Linked DNA regions of Callithrix jacchus. The protein of the gene in region 4 interacts with the protein of the main gene of each other region in a pairwise test. Links are inferred from orthologs where the notes say so. Each region holds a gene or a part of one and is shown on either strand. Other genes may lie near its edges.

Region 1 (5,613 bases), on a different chromosome or scaffold from region 4:
CATGCTCATTAAATATTTGTTAAAATGAATACACAGGTCAACTTGGTCATAGAAAGTTTCATGAAAGATAAAAGGCAGGCTGTAAATGATTACCACAAGACTTTAACTCAAAAATGAAGGAAATGTCCCATTTTCTTAACTTTTTAGTTAACTGGTCTTGTATTATTCCTTTGTTAAAATCTAGAAGGAGCTGTGAGAAATACCCCTTGTTTTCTGAGGAAATAAGGCACTGAAGACACCCTTTACAAAACCACCACTAGGGGGCTCTACAAGGCTGAATACAGTTCTATAGTCATTAAAGAAAGGCTATCGACCCATGCAATCCCATTGATAACAATGCATCAATAATTTCAGGATAGGGGAGGTGTGTGATAAGCATTCAGAATTTGAACCCCCTCACAAACAGCCCCATAGAGAGATTCAGATAGACATATCATTGCAGTCTCCCAATCTTTAATACCTACTGAGCCAAATGTTTTAATTCTCCAAAACCATGGATGGAAAATGAAGATATGAAGTGTGTTTACTTTAAAAAACACTTTAAAAGATATGAAGGGTATTTACTTAAAAAAAAAAAAAAAAGAAGAAGAAGTTATATGATTTTCAATGTCTGCATGGCAAAGAGGCAGAGCTTTAACCAATCTTAAAGCAACCCTTCCCAGACCACCACAACAGCTCCTAATAATAAATGCACACTTCTCAGAAACCTACTAATCACTAACAAGCACCACAAGGCACTAAGTCTTCCTTCCTCCATTAGTGATATGGGAGAAAGATGGAAAATAAAAACAAGAAGACTTGCAAACTCTTCCTAAATTTTGGTTAACGTCACCTAGTATTTCTGACCCATCTCTAAAATTCTGCAAACAAAAAAGGTCCCAAGTTACTACTCATTTCCCTCCAGAACAATAGCACACCTTTCTAATATGACATTGGGTCCTTTTTTTTGAGATGGAGTTGTGCTATTGTTGCCCAGGCAATGGCATGATCTCAGCTCACTGCAACCTCCAACTCCCGGGTTCAAGTGATTCACTTGCCTCAGTCTCCTGAGTAGGTGGGATTACAGGCACCCACCTGACTAATTTTTTATATTTTTAGTAGAGACAGCGTTTCACCATGTTGGCCACGCTGGTTTTGAACTCCTGACCTCACATGATCCACCAGCCTCAGCCTCCCAAAGTTCTGGGATTACAGACATGAACCACTGCACCTGGCTCACAGTGGTTCTTTATAAGAGTTTCTCTGCAAATTAATTAGTTCTGACAGAAATTTTAGTAAGTTCTAAGTAACAGACCTAAAGATTTAATAAAACTCCATTCTCAAATATTACACTAAAAAACACCTACACCCCCACTGGTGTTTCATTTTCTCACCTTAAAACACTTTTTCAGTAAGGTAAGCTGTGATGGGCATATGCTTTAAAGTAGCCTTGATTTATTTACTCAAAATGTAACAAGACTGAAAAAACACAAACGAGTGCAATTTTAAACCATTCTCAACATTATATAAAAATAAATTAGACTGAAATGAAGAAACATTAGAATACTGGTATTTTTACTGGATATGTTATATGTGATTCCAAATTACCAAACATTCTGGGAACTTAACATCCATTTAAACTGACTCTGTGAGATTTTCTTCAAAAACAGTGCTTAACTTGAAAAGCAGCCTTTGTATTTGTTTTTGGTTCATTCCCTTATCATATTTTTTACAGTACTTTAACTCATAAATTGCAGTTCAAATACAAAGAGCAAATAGCCAATTTAAATCCAGTTTTAAACACCGACACGCCCCCTCAATCTAAATTTCCAAAGCAGTAAGTTATTTTCTTGTTAAGGTTACTGCCGCCCACACAAACTAATTAATTCTAGGTCAACAAAAAAACAGAGAGGATAAAACACAGGAAAGAGAATGTGATAAGAAACAGATTACCTACCATTACTCTGCAGTGTTAATCCTGAGAGATCTTAATTGTTTAAAGAGGGGAAAAAAATAAAACATTAATCATTACAATGAAAATATTTTCCATTTAAAAACAGAGAATGTAAATTTAAGCCAGAGATTACAAAAGTTCATGAACCATTTCAATTCAGAAGTAGCATAAACGCTAACTAACAATACATACACTAAGTATTCAAACTTATAATGCTTTCCATCTTATTTCTCAAAAACAATGTTTTACATGGGCAAAATGTCAACGATAATACTTGGTTTTAGTAGTCAAAATGTTTGTTCCTGAGTTCAAATTTAAATATTTATATTAAAAATATCTCATTCTTTAACCTTATTTAAAATCCTGGGCTATCTTCGAAATTTATAATTTAACTCACAAAAATTAAAGCATTACTGACATCATTTTTCCTTTATGTTTCTAAGGATAAAAGCAAAAGTCTACTTACCAATTCCAGGTGATACAACTCGTTCATAGTGATATGGATTCACACAGACACTATCACATTTTAAGTCAAACGCATACTGACAATATTTAACATGTTTTAGTTCATTTTTGTGAAGATCAGGCCACCTCCAGAGACGGGCATAGATCACATGAGGAAATCCTTTCCGGCCAGCCACCTAGAAAAATAAACAACCATTTATTCGTGTGTCACATTATGCAAGACACTTTACATATATTCTGATTTAAACCTCACAATCCTACCAAGTCAGTATTACAATCCCCATTTCATAAACGAGAACACTAAAATTCAAAATAACTAACTTGGCCATGTCATACTTCAGACCTAGAATTTAAACGCTGGTATAATTTCAAGGCCTGTGCTCAGGTTTTAAAAATGCAAAAAGTGGGTGGGCCTGGTCGCTCACACCTGTACTTTGGGAGGCCAAGGGAGGATCTCTTGAACCTAGGAATTCAAGACCAACCTGGACAACATGGCAAGACCTTGTTTCCACAAAAAATAAAAAATCAACCAGACATGGTGGTGTGTGCCTGTAGTCGTAGCTACTCAGGAGGCTAAAGCAGGAGAACTGAATAAGCCCAGTAGGTCAAGGCTGTAGTGAGCCATGTTCGCACCACTGCATGGGCAAGACTGAGACCATGTCTCAAAGAAAGAAAATAAAATAAACAAATAAATATGCAAAAAGACTGTGTTGTAGAAACTAAAGTCTAGAAATAAAACTTTAAAATCTAAGACATAAAATTTCTATGAGATTTACTTGAGCAAGGGAGACGTATTACAAAGTTCTACATGAAAAACGTGACCAATGAAACATTTGATATCAGTGAAACATACCAGATTTCTAAATTATAAAAGGACTAAGTATAATCCACCAGTTGTTTAAATGTACATACAATATCAAAAAAGAAAACATGGCCGGGCACAGTGGCTTGCACCTGTAATCCCAGCACTTTGGGAGGCCAAGGTGGGTGGAACACCTGAGGTTAGGAGTTTGAGACCAGCCTGACCAACATAGTGAAATCCCATCTCTACTAAAAATACAAAAATTAGCTGGGCATGGTGGCACTCACCTGTAGTTCCAGCTAGTTAGGAGGCTGAGGCAGAAGGACTGCTTGAACCTGGGAGGCGGAGGCTGCAGTGAGCCAAGACTGCACCACTGCATCCCAGCCTGGGTGACAGAGTAAGACTCTGCCTCGGAAAAAGAAAGAAAAAGAAAACAACAGACTACAAAAATGAATACCAAAGGGCTAACGGAAGTTCCTGCAAAATGTGGGTTTTCTTCTTTTTATTTTCCAAATTTTCTCCACTGAACATTTTTCTGAGTCAGAACATAAAAAACTTTAAAATTTTATCTTTTGCATATTCTTCCACATATTCCCATAATGCATATTTGTACTGGATGACAGTATCTGAAGAGATGAAGCATGCATTAAATTACCCTATAGAAGCTTGAAAGGAAATTTAGCAAGTTTTTTAACCTGCCACCATAGAGGGTATAGAAAAATTCTTATAAGACTAACCTGAAGTCTCCCATCCAATGTTCTCTGTATGGTAACACATTTACTAGGATGAGCTCCATTTGTAGTTATGGCTGTTATTAAAGAATCCAATTCATCTTTTTTTTCCTTCAGCTTCTTTACCAAACTTTCAATTGCTCTTTTTGCAAATGTTTCACTCTCTCCACCTTGTCTATGGCACATCAAACTATGCACAATGCTCAGACAGGCATCATTACTAGTTGGTGTATTCGTAATAGACATATTGTCCATTTGTTCAAGTTTTTCCTTTTAAATCAAATGTCTCCAATTTCCAGAACAATTTTGATCTTTTGGAAGCAGTATAAAACAACAGGTAACGTTGCAAGTAAAACTGTTGCACATGTATTCAAGATAACCTAAAAAAGAAAAAAAAAGACACACATCAGAACATATTTCACAAAGTAGATTTAGATATACTTGGAAAAAGATGAAATTGTTCTGGTTAAGTCAGAGATTCAACGCACATAATTAAAATTTGATGCTCAGAGTTGAACATTACTTAAAATTCTTATAAAATGTTAACCATCAAAAATAATTTTTAAAAATAAAATTAATCAAAATGTCACTGTTTTTGACATTCCAAAAATATTAAAATTAGGTCTCCTCATTATAATAGTGAGACGCTCAATTGAGTCTTGCTGACTGTACTGGTCACCCTAAAGGGAAATCTTACCAGGACTTTTTTTAAAGGATTACTTATGAGGATTAGCACTTTAAAATAGTCTTGATTAACAATCAGCTAAACCTAAAAGTCTATTACTAATATTTATGAAAAATTACCATCGCCTGGTATGAAATGCTACCTAGCAGTTAACACTGACCTTTGTTAAAAGAGACCAATAAAAAAAGGATCTCTTTTATTCTACAAGACATTTCTCCAAAGATAATGGCCAATAAGCACATGAAAGCTCAACATTAGTCATTATAAAAATGAAAACCAAAACCACAAGTAGCTCTACCACTTCATACCTACTGAGATGGGTAAATCAAAGAGACAATAATAAGTATTGAAGAAGCGAGAAATTGGACCCTCATTCACTGCTGCTGGTATTACAAATGGCACAGGTACTTTGGAAAACAGGCTGGTATTAACACAAAATGTTAAACACAGTTACGATATGACCCAGCAATTCCCCTCTTCACAATTCTACTTGAGAAAAATGAAAACCTATGTCCACACAAACCTGTACACGAATGTTCACTGCAACACTGTTCATAATAGATACAACTCAAATGTCCATCAACTGATGAATGTACAAATAAAATTCCACACAATGAAATATTATTCAACCATAAAAAATAAAAGTACTAATACATGTTACAACATGGATAAACCTCAAAAACACATGCTAAGTGAAAGAAGTCAGTCACAAAGGTCACACATTATAAAATCCCATTTATATGAAATATACAAAATAGGCAAATTCACAGAGATAGAAAGTAAATCAGTGGTTGCCAGGGCCTGGCAGGAAGGGGTATGAGAAATGACTTCTAAAGAGTATGATGTTTCTTTGTTATAATGAAAAAGTCCTAAAAATTGATAATGCTGATGTCTGCACAACTGACTATAGTAAAAACTACTGAAATGTACACTTTGAAATAGTGAATTTTATGGTATGGGAATTATATCTCAATACAGCTGTTTTTTAAAGAGATCA
Region 2 (6,404 bases), on a different chromosome or scaffold from region 4:
ACATTTAATATTTTGCCATCTGAAAACAAAATATTTCAGTACTAAAGGTAATGAGACTGTTTCACGAGTATGGTGTTTATGCTGGATCTTGCAGGAAGAAATAGTTACAGCTTTGGTGGCAGTTTATGGCTTTAATCTCAATGGCTAAGAAAGTAAATGACACATTTCTTATTAATTGTTTTTACCATTTGGGTAATATACATATTTAGCTTCCTTGAGAGAACATTTAAATTAATTGGCTAACTCTAATCTGAATTATGTGTTTTAAGGTTGCTAAAATCATGTAAATTAACTGGTTGTGCCAACATAATAATTACAATATTAGCTTTTTTAACGGAAAATTATCTAAATGTAAGATGTCTAAAAATAGAGTGGAGGTGGATTGGACAGTTTGCAGATTATGAGTTGGAATAAAAACATCGCAGTTAAGCCAAAAACATGGCAACCAATATTTTCTGTTATAAAAATATTTGAGATGAGTTTAGTTTTTATGGAAGCTGTCTGAAACTGACATGAAAAGTCCAGTAATAATACCGGCAGCATCTCCTATATACAAAGCCAACAAGCTTCTGCTTCTTTCTGAAGTCGACTTTGTCAAGTAGGGGGTTGGGGGCGGGGGTGAGGATAGGGGTGTGGGATATTTTACCCAGTTATGCTCTGACGCGCTAACCTTCACCTTGACAAAACAAAACCTATCAGAGCCTTTTCAGGAAACTGATGTTAACTGTCCACTAGAGGCTGTAAGGAGACCAACAATGTCACTTTAGACTAACCCGAGGTTTCAAACTGTAACAATCATCGATTTTTAAATGGGGGGGGGAGTTGTAGAAATGAGTAAGAGTGAACAGTAGTAGTTACATTTAAATAGCCACTTACATGTGCACGGCATATCAAAAATGTGAGAAAAAATATTTCCGGGGCTCTGCACTTTCCTCGCTCGTACGTTTATTATTTCAGGAGCACGTAGGCTCTTGCAGGCCAGAGTTGTGTAAAACCTGACACATGTTTTGATCATTCTCTGCCCTGCCTCAGTGGGTGACTAACCGTTAGGTCATAAGTAAACTCAGCCAAAAGGTCTCTCAAATACAGCTTACAGTCAAGAGCGGTGGCTTTCAGAAAGAAACTTACGCGAAGGGGTCATGTTTCCAGACACCTAGTTCTAAGCACCTGAAGGAGGTCAAATGTTGCCCGACACCTACTGGCCTTCCAGAATCATCTGCAGCAAAAACGCCACGCTGAGCGCCCGTAGTCTGGAGGCACCTCCCAGTCCTCCAGGTGCCACACCTGTTGGCAATGTTAGCCCAGCCGACGAAGATTCCTTCGCGTGGAGGTCACACCTGGCGGCGGGACAGGCGGAGGGGCGGGCGGGGTGGTGGGAGTCGCGGACCGCACTAAAACACAGAGTCCAGACTCAAGTTCTTCATCGATTCCCGAGAGCTGCCATTTGATGCTCCGGTGGCTTTCTCTGTCTCTTACACTGGTTACCTCATTTCCGATTAAATTAATGATCCCAAATTAGCTGCGAGAGGAGTGCGCGGGTCTCCTTTCCAGGCTAGAGCGGAGTAAGTAGCTCCAGATCGAAGCCGATTTCCGGACCTGCGGAGAGAGCGAGGGCACGGCCGGGCGTTCTCAGGCAGCGAAGGTGAGGGCGCCTGTGCAGTCGGGGGGCCCGGGAAACTTTGCGGAGTTGCACGCAGAGGCAATCCCCGAGGCCCCCGGGCCTGGGTTCCCGAACGCCGCAGCGACGCCGGTTTGCGGGTTAAATAACGTGCAGCTGATGATCGGAGGGAGCCCTTTTAGACGCGGCTCGGGGCGCCGGGGACCCAGGGCACGTTGGGATTAGAACCCGCCGACCTCCCCTCCCCCCTGGGGTGTTTCATTGGCTGCCAGCTGAAGCCTGACACCCCTTGGGGGAGTCCCCCAGGTTGCCTGAGCAGCGCCCCGCGGTCGCTCGGTCCCCTCCAACTAGGTGCAGGGACCCAGGGAGGCGCTCGAGGACCGACCGGTCACCGCTCCAATTACCTCATCGCGCAGCTCCCCGCCCCCTTCCCAAACCTGGAAGGAACCTTGCCCTCCACCCCGCTCCTCCCCTCCCCCGCGGCCCGTCCCGAGCCACTCTTGGGGAAAGGTGCCCGCCTCCCCGGGCCGCGCGCCGCGAAGGGTTAAGGGCGCGGGCCAGCCGCCGCGCGGTGCGCTCAGGGCTCGGTGCTGCTCGCCGGGCCGCCCGCCAGAGGGTGCCCCCCACCCCCATGAAGTCGGATCCTTGAGCTGCGGCGGCGGCAGCCAACTGCTCCATATTTGGCTTCTATTACACATTTACATACTGGAGCGAGCGAGCGAGCGAGCGAGCGCGAGAGAGCGCGAGGGAGGGAGGGCGGAGGGAGGAGGGAGGGGAGGGAAGCGGGAGGAGGGGGAGGAGGAGGAGGAGGAGGAGGAGGAGGAGGAGAGAGCAGAGTATACCGCAGACATCATTTCTACTACAGTGGCGGAGCCGTACAGGACCTGTTTCACTGCAGGGGGATCCAAAACAAGCCCCGGGGAGCAGCAGCCAGAGCAAGAGCAGCCGCCAGACATTGTTTCTCTCCCTCTGCCCCCCTTCCCCACGCAACCCCAGATCCATTTACACTTTACAGTAAGTGGCTATTTTTTTTCCTCCTCTGATTCTTTTCCCCCCTCCCCCATCCCCTTCTCCCCTTATTTAGATTAAAATCCCTCCTCTCCCTATCTCCCGAGAGGGGCAAAAGCAACAACCAGCAAACAAACCCTAAAACCCCAATCGGCTGCACGGAAAACAGCTGGAAGAGGAGCGAAGGGAATCGACGCGTCGTGTTGTGTGTGTGTGTGCGTGCGTGTGTGTGTACATACAACCGTCCCCGGTTCCAGGCTCCCAGGCCGACACCCCCACTCTGGGCGCAGGGGCGGCCGTTCGGGGGGGCTGTCAGGGGCCGGGTGGGCGCCCGCCGGGCTAGGGGGCGCGCCCGGGCGGGGGGCGCGGGCAGGGAGAGCGGCGGCGGCGCCCCGCTCTGGAGACTGCTGGTCCGGTCGCGAGTGCCGAGAGCCATGTCCTCCTCCCTCCGGGTGGCGCAGGGGGAGGCGGCGGCGGCCGGGGTGGGGGGCTGGTCCCTTTCCCGGCCGCCCTCTTCCCATTCCTCCTCTCCGGAGAGGGCGGTGAGAGAGGGGGGGTCTCGGGGAGGGCTGCACTTCCCCGCGGGTGGACGCCCGGCCTCGGCGCCCCTGGGCGAGGGTCTTCCCTCCGTGGCCGGCCTCGCCGGCTGTACGGCTGTGGGCTGGGAAGGGACTGCTCCAGCCAAGGGGCCGGGACTTTGCGCTCGGCCGGGTGCCAGGCGGGGGGCGCGGAGGGGTGGCCTCGGGGACCCCGCGGGGGTAGCGGGTGTGCGGGTGCCTGGAGCGCGGCTGGAGTGGCGGTGGCGGCCCTGGCTGCCGCCGCCACCGCCGCCCTGTTGGTGCGGCCGCTTCCTGATCCTGTGCAGCGGCCGCCGCCGCCCGGAGCCGCGAGCCCGCGAGCGCCCCAGTCCGGGCCGGCGCCCCTGCCAGCGCCCGCGGCAGGAACCGAGGAGCCGCGGCAGGCGCTGCCCGGAGCCGGGAGTGAACGGCTGCGCGGCTGCTGGGAGGGTGAATGAAGCCAGGAGGAGGGGAAGGAGGAGGAGGCGGCGGCGGAGGAGGAGGAGGAGGCGCTGCGGGGATTGGGATGCGCCCTGGAGCCCCGCTGCTCGTTCACTCTGGGCCGGGCCGAAGACTCTGCCACTCCCGGGGCCGGGGCCGCCGCCGCCGCCGCCTCCTACGTGGTTCCAGCGCTGCGCTCAGGCCGGTCCCGCAGGGGGCAGGGAAGGGGGCCGGACGGGCGGAGCGAGAGGTGAGGCGGTGTCGGAGCGCGGCGTGTGAGTGAGTGTGTGAGTGAGTGTGAATGTGTATATGTGTGTGTGCGTGCGCGCCGGGCGGGGGGCGAGGGCTGTCGTGATGCGGAGGGGGCCCCTCCTCGGCCACTTGGCTGACTCTGCATCGCCCGACCCCTTCTCAGCCCCCCGCCTTCAGGCTGCCTTCTTGAACTCCGAGGCTGTGCTTTCATTTTATTTCAAACCACGTAGGGGGCTGACTGGAAGCGGTGAAACAATTCAGGTTTTCTAGGGAGATTGAGCAAGAACCTTAGCGGGGGGTGGAAGTAGGGTGGTGATCCAGACTCTGCCAGAAAACAAAACAAAACAAAAAGATCAGTTTCTAAGGACGGCAGGGGTTCGGTTCGAGCCGGTGGCTGGTCTGTTTTGTTTTGCTTTCTTGGTATTATCCTACAGATAAAAAGGTAATGTAAATACTTGAGAAGATTGGGAAATTGCTGAAGAGTAGTAAGGGCAAAAAAAAAAAAAAAAAAAAAAAAAAAAAAAAGCCAGTCGGAAGAAGCTGGTTATATAATGCGCGATGTGGCTAACAAGAAAGGCAAGCTATTTTTATTTTGTTTACCGTATGCTGTGCAGTAGGGACTCCTCCAAACTGGTTCTGTCCCCGAAGAGATTCTGAGCTTCCCTGTGAGATCCACAGGATACAATTAGCAAAATTAGAAGACCCTATTACACCCACAGAATAAAAACTGGTGCCTTACAGTGGCTTTCTGCCTGCACATTCGTGCATGCACAGGAATGTGTGTATGCAAATAAGTTCTCCTTTGGCAATCTAGTAGTGCACATCTCAATGACATTTGCGTTTTATAATGCAGGCTGTTTTTAATATTTAAACATTGTCGTTATATATTGCACACAGCAGTGGGTAGTTACTTGGTGGTTATTTTTAGGCATAGCTACTTTTTCAACAGTGTTAGCTAAGACATTTCCGTTTGGGTTTTTTAGGAGGCTGCAGTTCCTAGAAGCCCCCGTTAAGCCCACCCTTCGGTTTATTTGGTGGGTAAAGGTAGTTTGATACTTAGGCTTTTTTTTTTTTTTTGGAATGAAGCTTATGCCTGAGGAAACCACCAGAGAGAAGAGAAAATCCTGCACAGGAACTCTTGGAAAGGGATTGCACCATAACGGCTAATGCTGTGGCACTTAATCTCCTCTGATTGCCCTCTCGCTGTGCATGCATCAGTCAATATTTTAGCAGCTCTGCAAATAAATGGACTTGAATGCCATCTTCTACATAAAGCAGAGGTTGAAGGGCTCCCTTGAACCTCCTGGCTGGCTGTCAGTGGTGTAGGTTTTCAGTGCACTTACTCCAGCCCTGATCACTCATGTAATTAGATCAGGCTGCCATGGCAACAGACAGTGTTCCTCGTCCATTCAGGTGGGTTTGTCTTGTGCCTGAACTACTCCAAATGTTTTATGCACAGCATTTATGCTGCCCAAGCTAGACGAAAGACTCCACTATTTCAATTGCATCTTCTTTCAGTCATTTGGATGGGAGACACTGAAGGAGGCTTCTAGCTACTCAACTTTTATAAAGGAGACCAACAAGCTGTTCTTCCTAGGTGCAGTATGTAAATGCGTCTCCCCATACAGTGAAAGGAGCCTGACAATCCTGCTGGTGTTTATTGTGAGCAGATCAACAAGTATTTGGTACTTGTTAGAAACCTTTCAGAGCTTACTAAAGCAACATTTCTTTTGCAGTCTGGTGCCTTTGGCCATGCAGGCACTTAACCCTTTCAAGTGTGAAGAGCGTTCATCCTTTGGAACCTATATTGCCCATAGCAATGGCTGGATTTCTAAAGGATTTACTCAGAGGAATAACTTATTCGGAAAATATATTCTCATTGTCACATTTTTAAACTTGACAGCCATCATAACAAAAACTGGTACTGACAGTAGGCAGACATTCTGAATGTATTCATTCTTAATTTGGATCTATTGGGTGTGATTTGAATGATCTTTGATAGTAAGTTAAAAGGATTTTTTTTTTCTTAGCTAAGCCAGAAATGATAGAGGCCTATAGCTAGAGGACAGATAATGCATGGTGCTTTTGCACAATAAGCATGTACTTTATTTTAGGATGTAATTTAGAGAACAGTTAGAAAGCAGTATTCTAGTCTGCATAAGGGCACCACTGCATGAAGGCTGCTAAGCAAAGAGAAATCACACTATGGCAAAAAGGGAAAAGGAAAAGTTTCTTTAGTTGCTGAAGCTCTGTGCTGCTCAGGTAATCCAAGTAGGCAGGCGGGAGGAGAGGGGGAGAGAGGAGCATTTTAATAACCTGGCATTTGAAAGGAAAGATAATTGAGAATATGTCTTGATTTAGTTGTGACTGCCAGTCAGTTTACAATTTTATGGCCAACCTAGCTAAACTAGTACATTTTTCCCCCCAGGCCTAGGATTGTGAGAGCTACTCAACTCTATTCACAGGGGATTTATGAGTTTCTACCATTTCCTGAGTTAATGTGGTTGGTAAATTCATTGAGGCCTGGT
Region 3 (5,613 bases), on a different chromosome or scaffold from region 4:
CGGGGGAACGGTTGGTAGACCATGTCACATGTTCCACTGTTACTTCCTCAGTTCTAAATTGATAGCAAACATCCCCAAAAGGCATTCCTGCTGTTAGCCAAGAATGTGATGAAACAAAATTCATATCCTAAACTTTTCATTTTTAAGGAGAAAGAAGCCAAATAAAATCTCTCGATGGGATGTTAACAGCCAGTGCTTAGCTAAAATAAGCACATTTTCCATGTCATTTTCCAGTGTAAAAGCTTCCATGTATTTGTGTTTGTTTTTATTTTGCTTGGTTGCTAATTTCCTGCTGACAGCGATGAGAAGGATGTAGGAATGCTCCCAGGAAGAACTCCTTGCCTCCGCCCAGCTTTAGACTGGTCTAAGTGGGTGCCACCCAAGGTGATGTTCTCACAAGGTCTCTCTACACACAGTTCTGGCCACCAGCAGGGACAATACTGAGTTATCCTTTGAGATCCCTTTAGTCTCAATCACAGAAAATTGAATCTGCTCCAAATACGCTTTTATCCATGACTCGCAGAGTAGAAGAGGCTTTCAGAGTATTCACTGCCATGAGATCCTTTAATCCTAAGCTCTGTTTGTGCTTGATTCTCCCCCTCTCTCTAGCCCAGAACACCATCGCCGGGGAAGGAATGGGAATCAGTCATGAGCTAATCACCTTGGAGATCAGCTCCCGAGATGTCCCGGACCTGACTCTCATAGACCTTCCTGGAATAACCAGAGTGGCTGTGGGCAATCAGCCTGCTGACATCGGGCGTAAGGTCAGATTTCAGACTCTAATACCCTTACTGTATTAGAGTAGTGGTGAGTCCAGGGCTGAGTTGTGGAGAGTTGATATTTGGAGGTAAGAGTGAGGAATTCAGAGAGCCCATTGGTCACAGTCTTTTCTGACGAGTTGGATGGAAGCTTCCTTGGAGACGGTGAAGTGAACAGGCACAGCTGGAAACAAGTTCTATGTATTTGTTTTGTGTTTCACGCAGTGACTCATTTTTGGTTAGAGTTACATTCTGCAGCGGATCTAAAATGCGGTGTATTAGGAAGGAGTTTTATGTGGGAAAAGAGAACATTAAAAATAAGTATAGCCAGGCACAGTGGCTCACGCCTGTAATCCCAGCACTTTGGGAGGCCAAGGCAGGTAGATCACAAGGTCAAGAGATCAAGCCCATCTTGGCCAACATGGGGAAACCCCATCTCTACTAAATATTTTAAAACTTAGCCAGGCGTGGGTGCGTGCCTGTGGTCCCACCTACTCGGGAGGCTGAGGCAGGACAATTGCTTGAAACCAGAAAACAGAAGTTGCAGTGAGCCGGGATCACACCACTGCACTCCAGCCTGGCAATAGAGCGAGACTCAGTCTCAAAAAGTAAAAAAAAAAATTTTTTAAATAAGTATAATGGGCCACACACAGTGGCTCATTCCTATAATCCCAGCACTTTGGGAGGCTAAGGCAGGAGGATTGCTTGAGCCCAAGAGTTTGACACAAGCCGGAGCAACATAGTGAGAACCCCTTCTCTATAAAAGAAAGGTTAAAAAAATTAGCCCTGTATGGTGGTGTGCACCTGCAGTCTCAGCTACTGGGAGGATTGCTTGAGCCAGAGAGGCTGTGATGAGCCATGATTGTGCCACTGCACTCCAGCCTGGACAGCAGAGGAAGAACCTGAAAAAAAGAAAAGAAAGAAAGAGGACTGATATTTGAGTAGCAGTGATCTCACTTTACAGATTAACGATCTAGGGTCAGGCAGGTTTTGTTGGCCATTGTTTTTCATTGTGACCATCAGACCTGAGGTCTTAGCGGGTAATTAACTGAAACCTCATAGTTTTCCCTGAGCCTAGAGCTCCGTTTCTGCTGCAGATACTTATTTTCTCATAATTCCAGCTTGGGAGGTACCTCCAAGGTAGGGTTTATTGGTTCACTTCTCCAAAGTTACTTCTTTTGGGGGAAATACCCCTGGGCCTCTTAGGGCCTAAAGCAAGCACAAGGTCAGAACCTGTCTCACCTGTCACTTGCTTTTGCCGTTTTCACAAGTCACCTTCCATTTCCTTACAGATCAAGGCACTCATCAGGAAGTACATCCAGAGACAGGAGACGATCAGCCTGGTGGTGGTGCCCAGTAACGTGGACATCGCCACCACAGAGGCGCTGAGCATGGCCCAGGAGGTGGACCCCGAGGGGGACAGGACCATCGGTGAGAATGTGGGAGCCTACATGTGGTGGGCGGTCTGCCAGTGGGGAAGTGTCTCTCAAGTCTCCGTGGGCATTGCTGCATTGCTTGGTGGGGACCTGCTTCCACTAAGACCTGCTAAGGGGCAGGTTTGGTGCCCACCGAGGCCAAGTGAAATGAACTACTTTTGACTCTCGTTGACTTGGTTGCCTTGTAACCCTTATCTATGTGCTCAGAAAGGCACAGCAGGCTCAGAAGCAGGGCAAACTAAGGAAGCAAATGGTATTCATAAAGAATGCATTTGAAGTAGGAGCAGCACAAATGTCCATGACTAAAAGGACAAACAAAATGTGGTGAAGGAGGTGGGAAGGGAAGGAAAGAAGGAAAGGGAAGGAAAGAGGGGAAGGAAAGAAAGAAGGGAAGGAAGGAAAGAAGGGAAGGAACGAAAGAATGGAAGGAAGGAAAGAAGGGAAGAAAGGAAAGAAGGGAAGGAAGGAAAGGGAGGAAGGAAGATATTTGAGTATCAGTGAATCTGACTTTACAGATTCAAGATTTAGGGATCAAGTGTGTTTTCACAGGGCAGAGGAGCCTGGGGAGAGCCACATGCTGTTCTGAGGGGCACCCCTGCCTCCTTGCAGCTTGCCCTGGAGTTCTTTCTTGGAGTGGGACTCCACTGGCCCCATGGATCTGCGGAGGCCATGGGCTACCCTCTAGCAAAGGGGGAGGAAACACTGGGAGGCTGGGGCATAAACAGTTGTTCATTCACCGCTGCCTTGTGACTGGGCACGTTCTCTCACCAAAAACATCTGGCTTGCAGGAATCTTGACGAAGCCTGATCTGGTGGACAAAGGAACTGAAGACAAGGTTGTGGACGTGGTGCGGAACCTGGTGTTCCACCTGAAGAAGGGCTACATGATCGTCAAGTGCCGGGGCCAGCAGGAGATCCAGGACCAGCTGAGCCTGTCCGAAGCCCTGGAGAGAGAGAAGCTCTTCTTTGAGGACCACCCATATTTCAGGTGCACTCACCTGGGTTTCATCACGGATCAGTGCAAGCCCTGGAAGTCAGTTCTTCCTGGGGAAAGTGGCGGCCACCCCACAGATGCACGGAGTGTGTGTGTGACTATGCTTGTTCCCCAGCAAGGACTCTGGAAGAATAGAAAGGGGATTACAAAATATTGGGGGAAAAAAAACCTAAAAACCAATCAAAACAGGGAGAGAACAATGTACAATAATTTAAATAGCATGGTGTTGGAACCATATTTTATAAAAACGTAAATAGAAGAGAACAGAAAAAAAGTAGAATGCCCAGAAATAGATTCCGATATGTATGTTTGACACATGATGAACACGGCATTTCAAACAAAATGATGAGCTGTATCAGCTTGATTATCAATTAATAGCATTGGGATAATTATGATTATTTTATTATTTTTGAGATACAGTTTTGCTCGTTGCCCAGGCTGGAGTGCAATGACATGATCTTGGCTCACCGCAACCTCCACCTCCTGGGGTTTAACTGATTCTCCTGCCTCAGCCTCCCAAGTAGCTGGGATTACAGGCATGCAGCACCATGCCTAGCTAATTTTGTATTTTTAGTAGAGATGGGGGTTTCTCCATGTTGGTCAGACTGGTCTCCAACTCCCAACCTCAGGTGATCCACCCACCTCAGCCTCACAAAGTGCTGGGATTACAGTCGTCAGCCACCACCCCTGGCAGGATAATTATTTAATATTTGGGGAAAAGTTCAAATACTGTTCTAACTTACCTCATTATACCACAATAGTTGAAGTTTAAAGTTAAATCTTACCCCATTATGCCAAAGTAGTTGAAATTTAAAGTTAAATGTTAAAAAACAAAGCAATAAGCATCTCAGAAGAAAATGTTGGTGAATAGTTTATAAGACCTTTCTATCCCTCCTGCCCAAAGTGAATTTTTTTAAACGAAAATATTGATAAATTGGTAAGATTTAAAATAATGAGACTATGTAGAATTGTAAACATTCTTGCACTCAATTCTCCCAGAAGCCTACAGAAGGGCATTGCTCAGAGTTCTATGAATATCAAACAGAAATTTCCATGCCCCTCTGCACATTCACAATAGCCAGAAGAGAAGGTGACTCGGTGTCCATGGACAGATGGGTGCAGAAAGCAATGCACCATAAGATGGAATACCATTCAGCCTCAGAGAGGAGGGACATCACAGCACAGACCACGATGCCGATGTAGCTTGAGAACATCAGACTCGGGGAAAGAGCCCAGTCGTAAGAGGACGGAGACTGTCTGATTCCACTTGTCTGAGGTCCTTGGAGTGGTCAGATTCGTATAGACAGAAAGAATGGTGGGTGCCAGGGCCTGGGGGAGAGAGAATGGGGAGGTAGTGTTTACCGGGCCATTGTTTCAGTTTGGGAATATGAAAAGCTCTGAAGATGGACGGTGGTGATGGTTTCAGAATAGCGTGACTGTAGTTAAGGCCACTGAAGTGTACATTTAAAAATGGCTCAAATGGTCAATTTTATGCTATATGTATTTTACCACACGACTTTTAAAAATGGACATAGAAACTGAAGCTTAGGTATGAGTATACTCTCACAACAAGGCACAGAAACTTATGCTTCTCTGCTGCCCATATCCTAAAATGTCCTGTAAAGCGTGGGCAACCTTGTAATAACTCGCCCTATGAGCACAAATTTGGATCGAGTGACAAGATGTTTGGCTTCCACCCTCCAGGCAGCCCATGGTCTAAGTTCTTATCTCAGGCGAGGTTGCATCTCCTCTGTTCCGTGATCCTCCACCCACGTATGTAAATATGCTTCAGTGTATTCGTATGAAGACCACGCCTGTGTTCATTATGATCACTCACACGTATTACAAATGGAAGGGGGTATGTGTTATGAAAACCTATCTATACATGTCTGTGTATTTCTGTGACGACCAGTTCTGTAGCCAGATATTATGAGACACATTTATTATATCAGCTGGAAGGGCTCATTCCATATCATTGTTGAAATATCCTAGGTTGCTAAAGCTCAGCCACAGTCCTGTTCGGTCCAACTCTGAGTATTTGTTGGGTACCGATCACAAGATATTCCATCCGGTGGTAAGCGACTGAAATTTGCCTGGACTTTCCCCAACAGCAGAAGGCAGACGTGCGTGTTCTGGCTACATCAAGGTGGAAATCGATCTTGTGTTCTCTTCTAGGGATCTGCTGGAGGAAGGAAAGGCCACGGTTCCCTGCCTGGCAGAAAAGCTCACCAGCGAGCTCATCACACACATCTGTGTAAGCACAGACAGAGCTGTGGGTCCTCTAAAAAGAACACTACGAACACGGAGCTGAACCTTGCTGGCTTCTTAAACATGACTACACACAGGCCTTCTGAGGATCTTAAGATGCAGATCAGATTCTGTGGGTCTGGAGTAGGGCCTAAAATTCTGCATTTCCAGCAAGTCCC
Region 4 (5,613 bases):
CTTGCTCTGTTGCCCAGGCTGGAGTACAATGGTGTAATCTCGGCTTGCTGCAAACTCTGCCCCCCAAGTTCAAGTGATTTTCCTACCTCACTCTCCAGAGTAGCTGGGATTACAGGTGCACTACACTCGGCTAATATTTGTATTTTAGTAGAGACAAGATTTCACCATGTTGCTCAGGCTGGTCTCAAACTCCTGAGCTCAATCTCCCTGCCTCAGCTTCCCAAAGTCCCTAGAATTGCAGGTGTGAGACACTGTGCCTGGCCAAGAAATACACATTTTTTTTAGTCCCTACTCCTGACTCAGACATGGGGGAGAGATGTGTGCATTCTAATACGCTTTCGGCTGGGCGCAGTGGCTCATGCCTATAATCCCAGCATTTTGGGAGGCCGAGGTGGGTGGATCACGAGGTGAAGAGATCGAGACCATCCTGGCCAACATGGTGAATCCCCGTCTTTACTAAAAATACAAAAATTAGCTGGGCGTTTGGCATGCGCCTGTAGTCCCAGCTACTTGGGAGGCTGAGGCCGAAGAATCACTTGAACCCAGGAGGTGGAGGTTGCCGTGAGCCGAGACTGTGCCACTGTCTGGCAACAAAGCAAGACTCTGTCTCAAAAAAAAAAAAAAAAAAGCTGTCAGGTAATTCTGATGTACATACACCACAATTTGAGAACCACTGTACCAGAATCGTCTTTTGATACGATGAATACTATATCCAAGTACCCTTTTAGTGCATTACCCCAATCCCTCCAGAATATTACAAACCTGGGAAAAATTCAAACTATTCTTGATTGTTAAGTTTTAGAATCAAGAATCCTTTTATTTGGCAAGTCTTTAATTCTTATTTGCCAAGTCAATTTTCACTATGACTTTTTTTTAAAGGTGTCAGCACCTACCCTTTATTATTTAGTGGTGATGTGGGAGACAGGGAAGGACAGGTCCTCTTGGCAGATGGCTCTTCTTCCTCTTCATCAGATGAACTGTCTATGGTTAGGTCAATCACTTCTACTTTCTTGTTTTTATTTGAGGACTGGTGGTGAGAAGCTACCTGATGCTCCAATGTGGAGCTCAAGCATCCTGTATGGGAATGATTAAAAAACAAGGCAAGGAAGAGCTATGACATTTATCTTTCCTCAGCGTCCCTTATAGTTTATCTATTACAGTTTAGATTCACAATATTGTTGGAACCAGAGAGCAGAAAACCAGCAGTGGCTCTGTTCTAATAAGTTTAAAACTATTATTATTTAATAATGGTGAATTATTTTTCAAAATAATAAACTACAGAATTAGAGCAAACAATCAAATTGTGTCTTATGCCTACTTTAGAGGAAAAGTAATTTGAGAGCACAGACTGTATATTATCTGTACAATATTTGACATATTTAAGAAATATGATAGCATTTTTTAAAACTCATAGTCTCTTTCCAGCAAAAACAATGAAAAAAGGACGTTTACTACTCTGTACCCAATCTGTTCAAAATGTTAAAAGGGTACATTTTCAAAAGTGTGACTTTACAAATGAGAAATTACATTACTTTAAAATCTTAGAAAAATCCTTAAAGCTGGCAAAAAAGTGAAGTTAAAAGGAGTTCTATTACCTCTGAACATTTAATCAGTAAGTTAATAGGAATTATTAAGCTCTCCACAAACTGTTCAGTGTTTAAAAAAAAAATTTGGATTTTAATATTGAAAACCAGACTTAACGGCAGTAGGGAGATGGCCCTTCCTTGTGAAGAACTACTCACCATCAACTCCATTGTATGAGGCAGAAACTTCCTGTACTTCCTTTTTCGATCTCATTGGTGCCCAAGAGCCATCCTCCTTAAATTGTATTTCATCACAATCTGTGCAGTACTTTAGGATTTCCATAAACAAGCTGTAAGAAAACAATTCATCCTTAGAATATCATATTTTAAATGAAAATAAGTTAAAAGTTGAACAACTTGTTATATTTATTCTTAAAATCTAGTGGTAAACAGAAATATAGCTAATTTATGTCACATTTGTGTAAGAAAATACCATGTGACCATGAAAAATGACATTTTCAAAGATTTTTAATCACATGGGAAAATGTTCACAAAAAGTTAGAAAAGGCCAACAAAAGCAAGCTTCATCTCAAAACTAAAATTCTGTGTGAGTGGTCCATAGTCAGTAGTTATCTCTGGGTGGTACCTTCATGGGTATTTATTTTTCTTCTTTAGATTTTTTTTGCATATTCTAAATTGCCTACAATAAGCATGTCTTACTTGAGAAACTGAAGCAATACACGTACGAATATGTTATCAAAGGTTAAATCTCTTTGATAAAATATTGTGACATTTAAAAACATGTACGAAGAATGCATAATTATGGCCAAATTCCTAGGTTATAATGTTAAATGAAACCAAAGGATAAAAATTATTAACAGTGTACAATCACAATTATGTCAAGACAAAAATCAGAAAATTATACACCAAAAACAGCTTTTTACTTTCCTGTGTTTTCAAATTTTTCTTTAAAAGAGTATGTGTGTTATATGGCTTTTATAACAAGAAATGGGAGAACCTAAGCTATGTAACATATACAGTTGGTAAAATATTACTATTTAATTCTGATTTACCAGTAAGTGATCACTGTCATTTCTGAAAAGTTAAACATAAAACATTTAAGTTACATGTTTATTTTTTTTCCCATGACTGGTCTGACATCTTTCAAGTTCTAGGTTATACTTGTATTGCTAAATATATTCAGTTTCTGATAGTACCACCTTCAGACTCCAGCGTTTTCTTAAACACTGTAGGTAAGTTGCCTTAAGTGTTTTTGCTAGAAAGTACAGGAAATATTAAGTAGAGGCTGGGTGCAGTGGCTCACACCTGTAATCTCAGCACTCTGAAAGGCCAAGGCAGGAGAATCACTTGAGCCCAGGAATTCGAGATCAGCCTGGGCAAAATGGCAAGACTCTGTGTCTACCCTTACCCCCCAGCCCCCAAAAAGTTAAGTAAATGTCCTCCTTTGCACAATTTGTTTTTGTTTAGTGGCAAAAGGCAGGGGGAAAGGAGTCTGCAGAATAGGAGATAATTTGGAGGAGCATTCCAAGATGTCTGGTAGGATAGATTTAAAAAAAGGAGTATTAAAAACAGTCATCAGTTACTGTGATGCTGTAGGTGGACAAGACAAAAAAGAAAAAGACCATGACTGAAGCTTGATCTGATCTCCAGAAACAGGCTAACTGCTATTGAAAAGCCCAATTTTGGATGAGCCTGAGTTAACCCAAATTTTACCATACATTCTTTCTCCAATATGGTCTACATATCTAGGGATGGGTAGATGAATGAATGATGGGAAAAGGAAAGGGTGTAAGCATACCCTGCTTAAAACCAATGGTGCTTTAAACAATGAATGCCAGGAGGCACTAACAGTAATGTATGCATTTTCTTTCTTTCTTTCTTTTTTTTTGAGACAGAGTTTCGCTTGTTACCCAGGCTGGAGTGCAATGGCATGATCTCGGCTCACTGCAACCTCTGCCTCCTGGGTTCAAGCAATTCTCCTGCCTCAGCCTCCCGAGTAGGTGGGATTACAGGCACGCACCACCATGCCCAGCTAATTTTTTGTATTTTTAGTAGAGATGGGGTTTCACCTTGTTGACCAGGATAGTCTCGATCTCTTGACCTCGTGATCCACACGTCTCGGCCTCCCAAAGTGCTGGGATTACAGGCGTGAGCCACCACGCCCGGCCCCAGTATGCATTTTCAAAACAAGGGAACATCAAGTTGAAAAGAAAATGTTCATAATACTAATTTGAAATAAATTACTTTGAAAATATTGGTTTGCAGACTCATAAAAATCCTACAAACATATAACTTAGAATTTTCATTCCAAATCTGATCTGTAACAAACCCAGATAACATATGTTCATTTCAAGGTACCAAAAACACTTTTAAAGTGACATACCCATCAATAATAAGGTGTTCATATGGAGCCTTCTTATCACAGACAGGACAAACCCAGGTTGGTTTTTTCTCATTCATCTGAATGTAAAGAGTTGCGTCAAAACATTGTAGGTGAGAGCATGTAAGGGCCCGACACGGAATTGTCAGCCGCATTTTACCAAGCTTTAAAAAAGGAGAAAAAGTAAATATTAGATAACTGCTGTTCAAAATTTAAGCTTTGATAGAAATTTCCTAAAACACAACAGGTATGCATACTGATTTAAAGCATACTGTATTTACTTTTAATCAATGAAGAAGAACATTAAACATATTACCTGTAAAATATCTATAGATTTAAAAATTACAGTATTTCTTTAGCTAGCAAACAAAATGACTATGGAAAATCTACAACAAGGGTTATTTGCTAAAATCCACAGCTCACAGATCAGCTTTTGGTGGAGAGGGTCATAAACCCCTTGAATTATATTCAAAATTTGTGTGTGCATTTTTCTGGAGAGAGTGCTTTTACCAATTTTCAAAAAAAGAGATGGGGTCTTGCTATGTTGCCCAGGCTGAAGTGCCAACTCTCTTCACAGGCATAATCATAGCACACTACAGCCTCAAACTCCTGGGCTCAAGCAATCCTCCTGCCTTAGCTTCCAGAGTAGCTGCGAATACAGACGTATACCACTGTACCCAGCTTCTCCCAAATTCTTAAAGCAGTCCCTGACCCAAAAGAAAAAATTTGAGAACCATGTAACTAGGGATTAGGGAAAATAATGTCTTAGTAAATACTGCATGATACAGAGATGCACTGATAATTGCTCTCAGCCTTATCTGTGAATTAGAGTAGTTCACAGGACAAAACTGAATCAATAGTGATCACTCCCCACGATGTCTGTCGTAACTGCCAAGTGGTAGCTCCAAGGAGGAAGGCAGGTGGTGCACACACTCTGCACTGCTTCCTCACTGGGAACCATCACAAGCAATTCAGCCTACAGTCCTGGACCTCTAGCATCTCCAGCATGTTAGGACACTTCTTGCCTTGCAAATATTGCTTCAGCTGACACAGGCTGAGTCCATCCTAGGAAGAGGAAATCTGCTTCATCTGATCCCTGAGCTGCTAGCTTTGGCCCAAGGCAGAGAAGCTGCCCAGAGACCTGGTCAGGGAGCTATCATATCACTATCTCAATTCCCTGGAAGCCAGCTTGTACCACTGTAGGGTCCCCAGATCCCACAATGGCCATATAGTAGAGAACTTATCTACTTTCAATAACTACATTATTTGTCAAGTACCAGGAAAAGATTTGTGAACTTGAAAAATATAAAGGCTTGAAAAGGATATGAGTTAGATGAGGAAAAGATTCTTGGCTTAGATCAATTTCAGAGAAATGTGCAATACCCTAGTCTACCAAGGCAATTATCTGTCAGTTGGGGCCCAAAATAATTGCTTTGATGCCAATGATTTACTGTGTCTCTAAGAAAGGCATTTAACCTTTCTGGGCCTCTTTTACTTCTAAAGTAACACTGTTTCCTCCTTATTTCGACCAGATGTAGCCATGATGAATAAAAATAGAACACTGAACATGCTATAAATTATTGAGAATGGAGCAATGCCAGTTTACAGTATCAGAAGCACAACCAGGAGGGACCTAGAGTAAAAACTGGTAACTCCCTTTTCTGTACTCCCAACTCTATACTCCTGCAT

The links.
Region 1: the proteins of PIAS1 (region 4) and SMAD4 interact in a two-hybrid assay, tested with the Homo sapiens proteins (2 studies listed by BioGRID and IntAct). The link is inferred for Callithrix jacchus from reciprocal best matches to the Homo sapiens genes PIAS1 and SMAD4.
Region 2: the proteins of PIAS1 (region 4) and ATXN1 interact in binary tests that used the Homo sapiens proteins (3 or more experiments, as listed by UniProt). The link is inferred for Callithrix jacchus from reciprocal best matches to the Homo sapiens genes PIAS1 and ATXN1.
Region 3: the proteins of PIAS1 (region 4) and MX1 interact in a two-hybrid assay, tested with the Homo sapiens proteins (2 studies listed by BioGRID). The link is inferred for Callithrix jacchus from reciprocal best matches to the Homo sapiens genes PIAS1 and MX1.

What each region holds. Positions count from the first base shown.
Region 1 is NC_133514.1:94,274,338-94,279,950, reverse strand, and holds part of SMAD4 (mothers against decapentaplegic homolog 4), read right to left. Parts: intron 4,312-5,613; 5' UTR 4,187-4,311; coding exon 3,938-4,186; intron 2,575-3,937; coding exon 2,400-2,574; intron 1,967-2,399; coding exon 1,937-1,966; intron 1-1,936. UniProt on the Homo sapiens protein: In muscle physiology, plays a central role in the balance between atrophy and hypertrophy. When recruited by MSTN, promotes atrophy response via phosphorylated SMAD2/4.
Region 2 is NC_133505.1:13,912,587-13,918,990, forward strand, and holds the start of ATXN1 (ataxin-1), read left to right. Parts: upstream 1-2,451; 5' UTR 2,452-2,632; intron 2,633-3,060; coding exon of another isoform or gene 3,061-3,874; intron 3,875-6,404. Other genes in the region: uncharacterized protein LOC128931873, read left to right, coding at 3,061-3,874. UniProt on the Homo sapiens protein: Chromatin-binding factor that repress Notch signaling in the absence of Notch intracellular domain by acting as a CBF1 corepressor. Binds to the HEY promoter and might assist, along with NCOR2, RBPJ-mediated repression. Binds RNA in vitro.
Region 3 is NC_133522.1:47,272,110-47,277,722, forward strand, and holds part of MX1 (interferon-induced GTP-binding protein Mx1), read left to right. Parts: intron 1-609; coding exon 610-764; intron 765-2,050; coding exon 2,051-2,189; intron 2,190-2,982; coding exon 2,983-3,181; intron 3,182-5,362; coding exon 5,363-5,441; intron 5,442-5,613.
Region 4 is NC_133509.1:15,291,753-15,297,365, reverse strand, and holds part of PIAS1 (E3 SUMO-protein ligase PIAS1), read right to left. Parts: intron 4,089-5,613; coding exon 3,928-4,088; intron 1,874-3,927; coding exon 1,743-1,873; intron 1,075-1,742; coding exon 894-1,074; intron 1-893. UniProt on the Homo sapiens protein: Functions as an E3-type small ubiquitin-like modifier (SUMO) ligase, stabilizing the interaction between UBE2I and the substrate, and as a SUMO-tethering factor. Catalyzes sumoylation of various proteins, such as CEBPB, MRE11, MTA1, PTK2 and PML.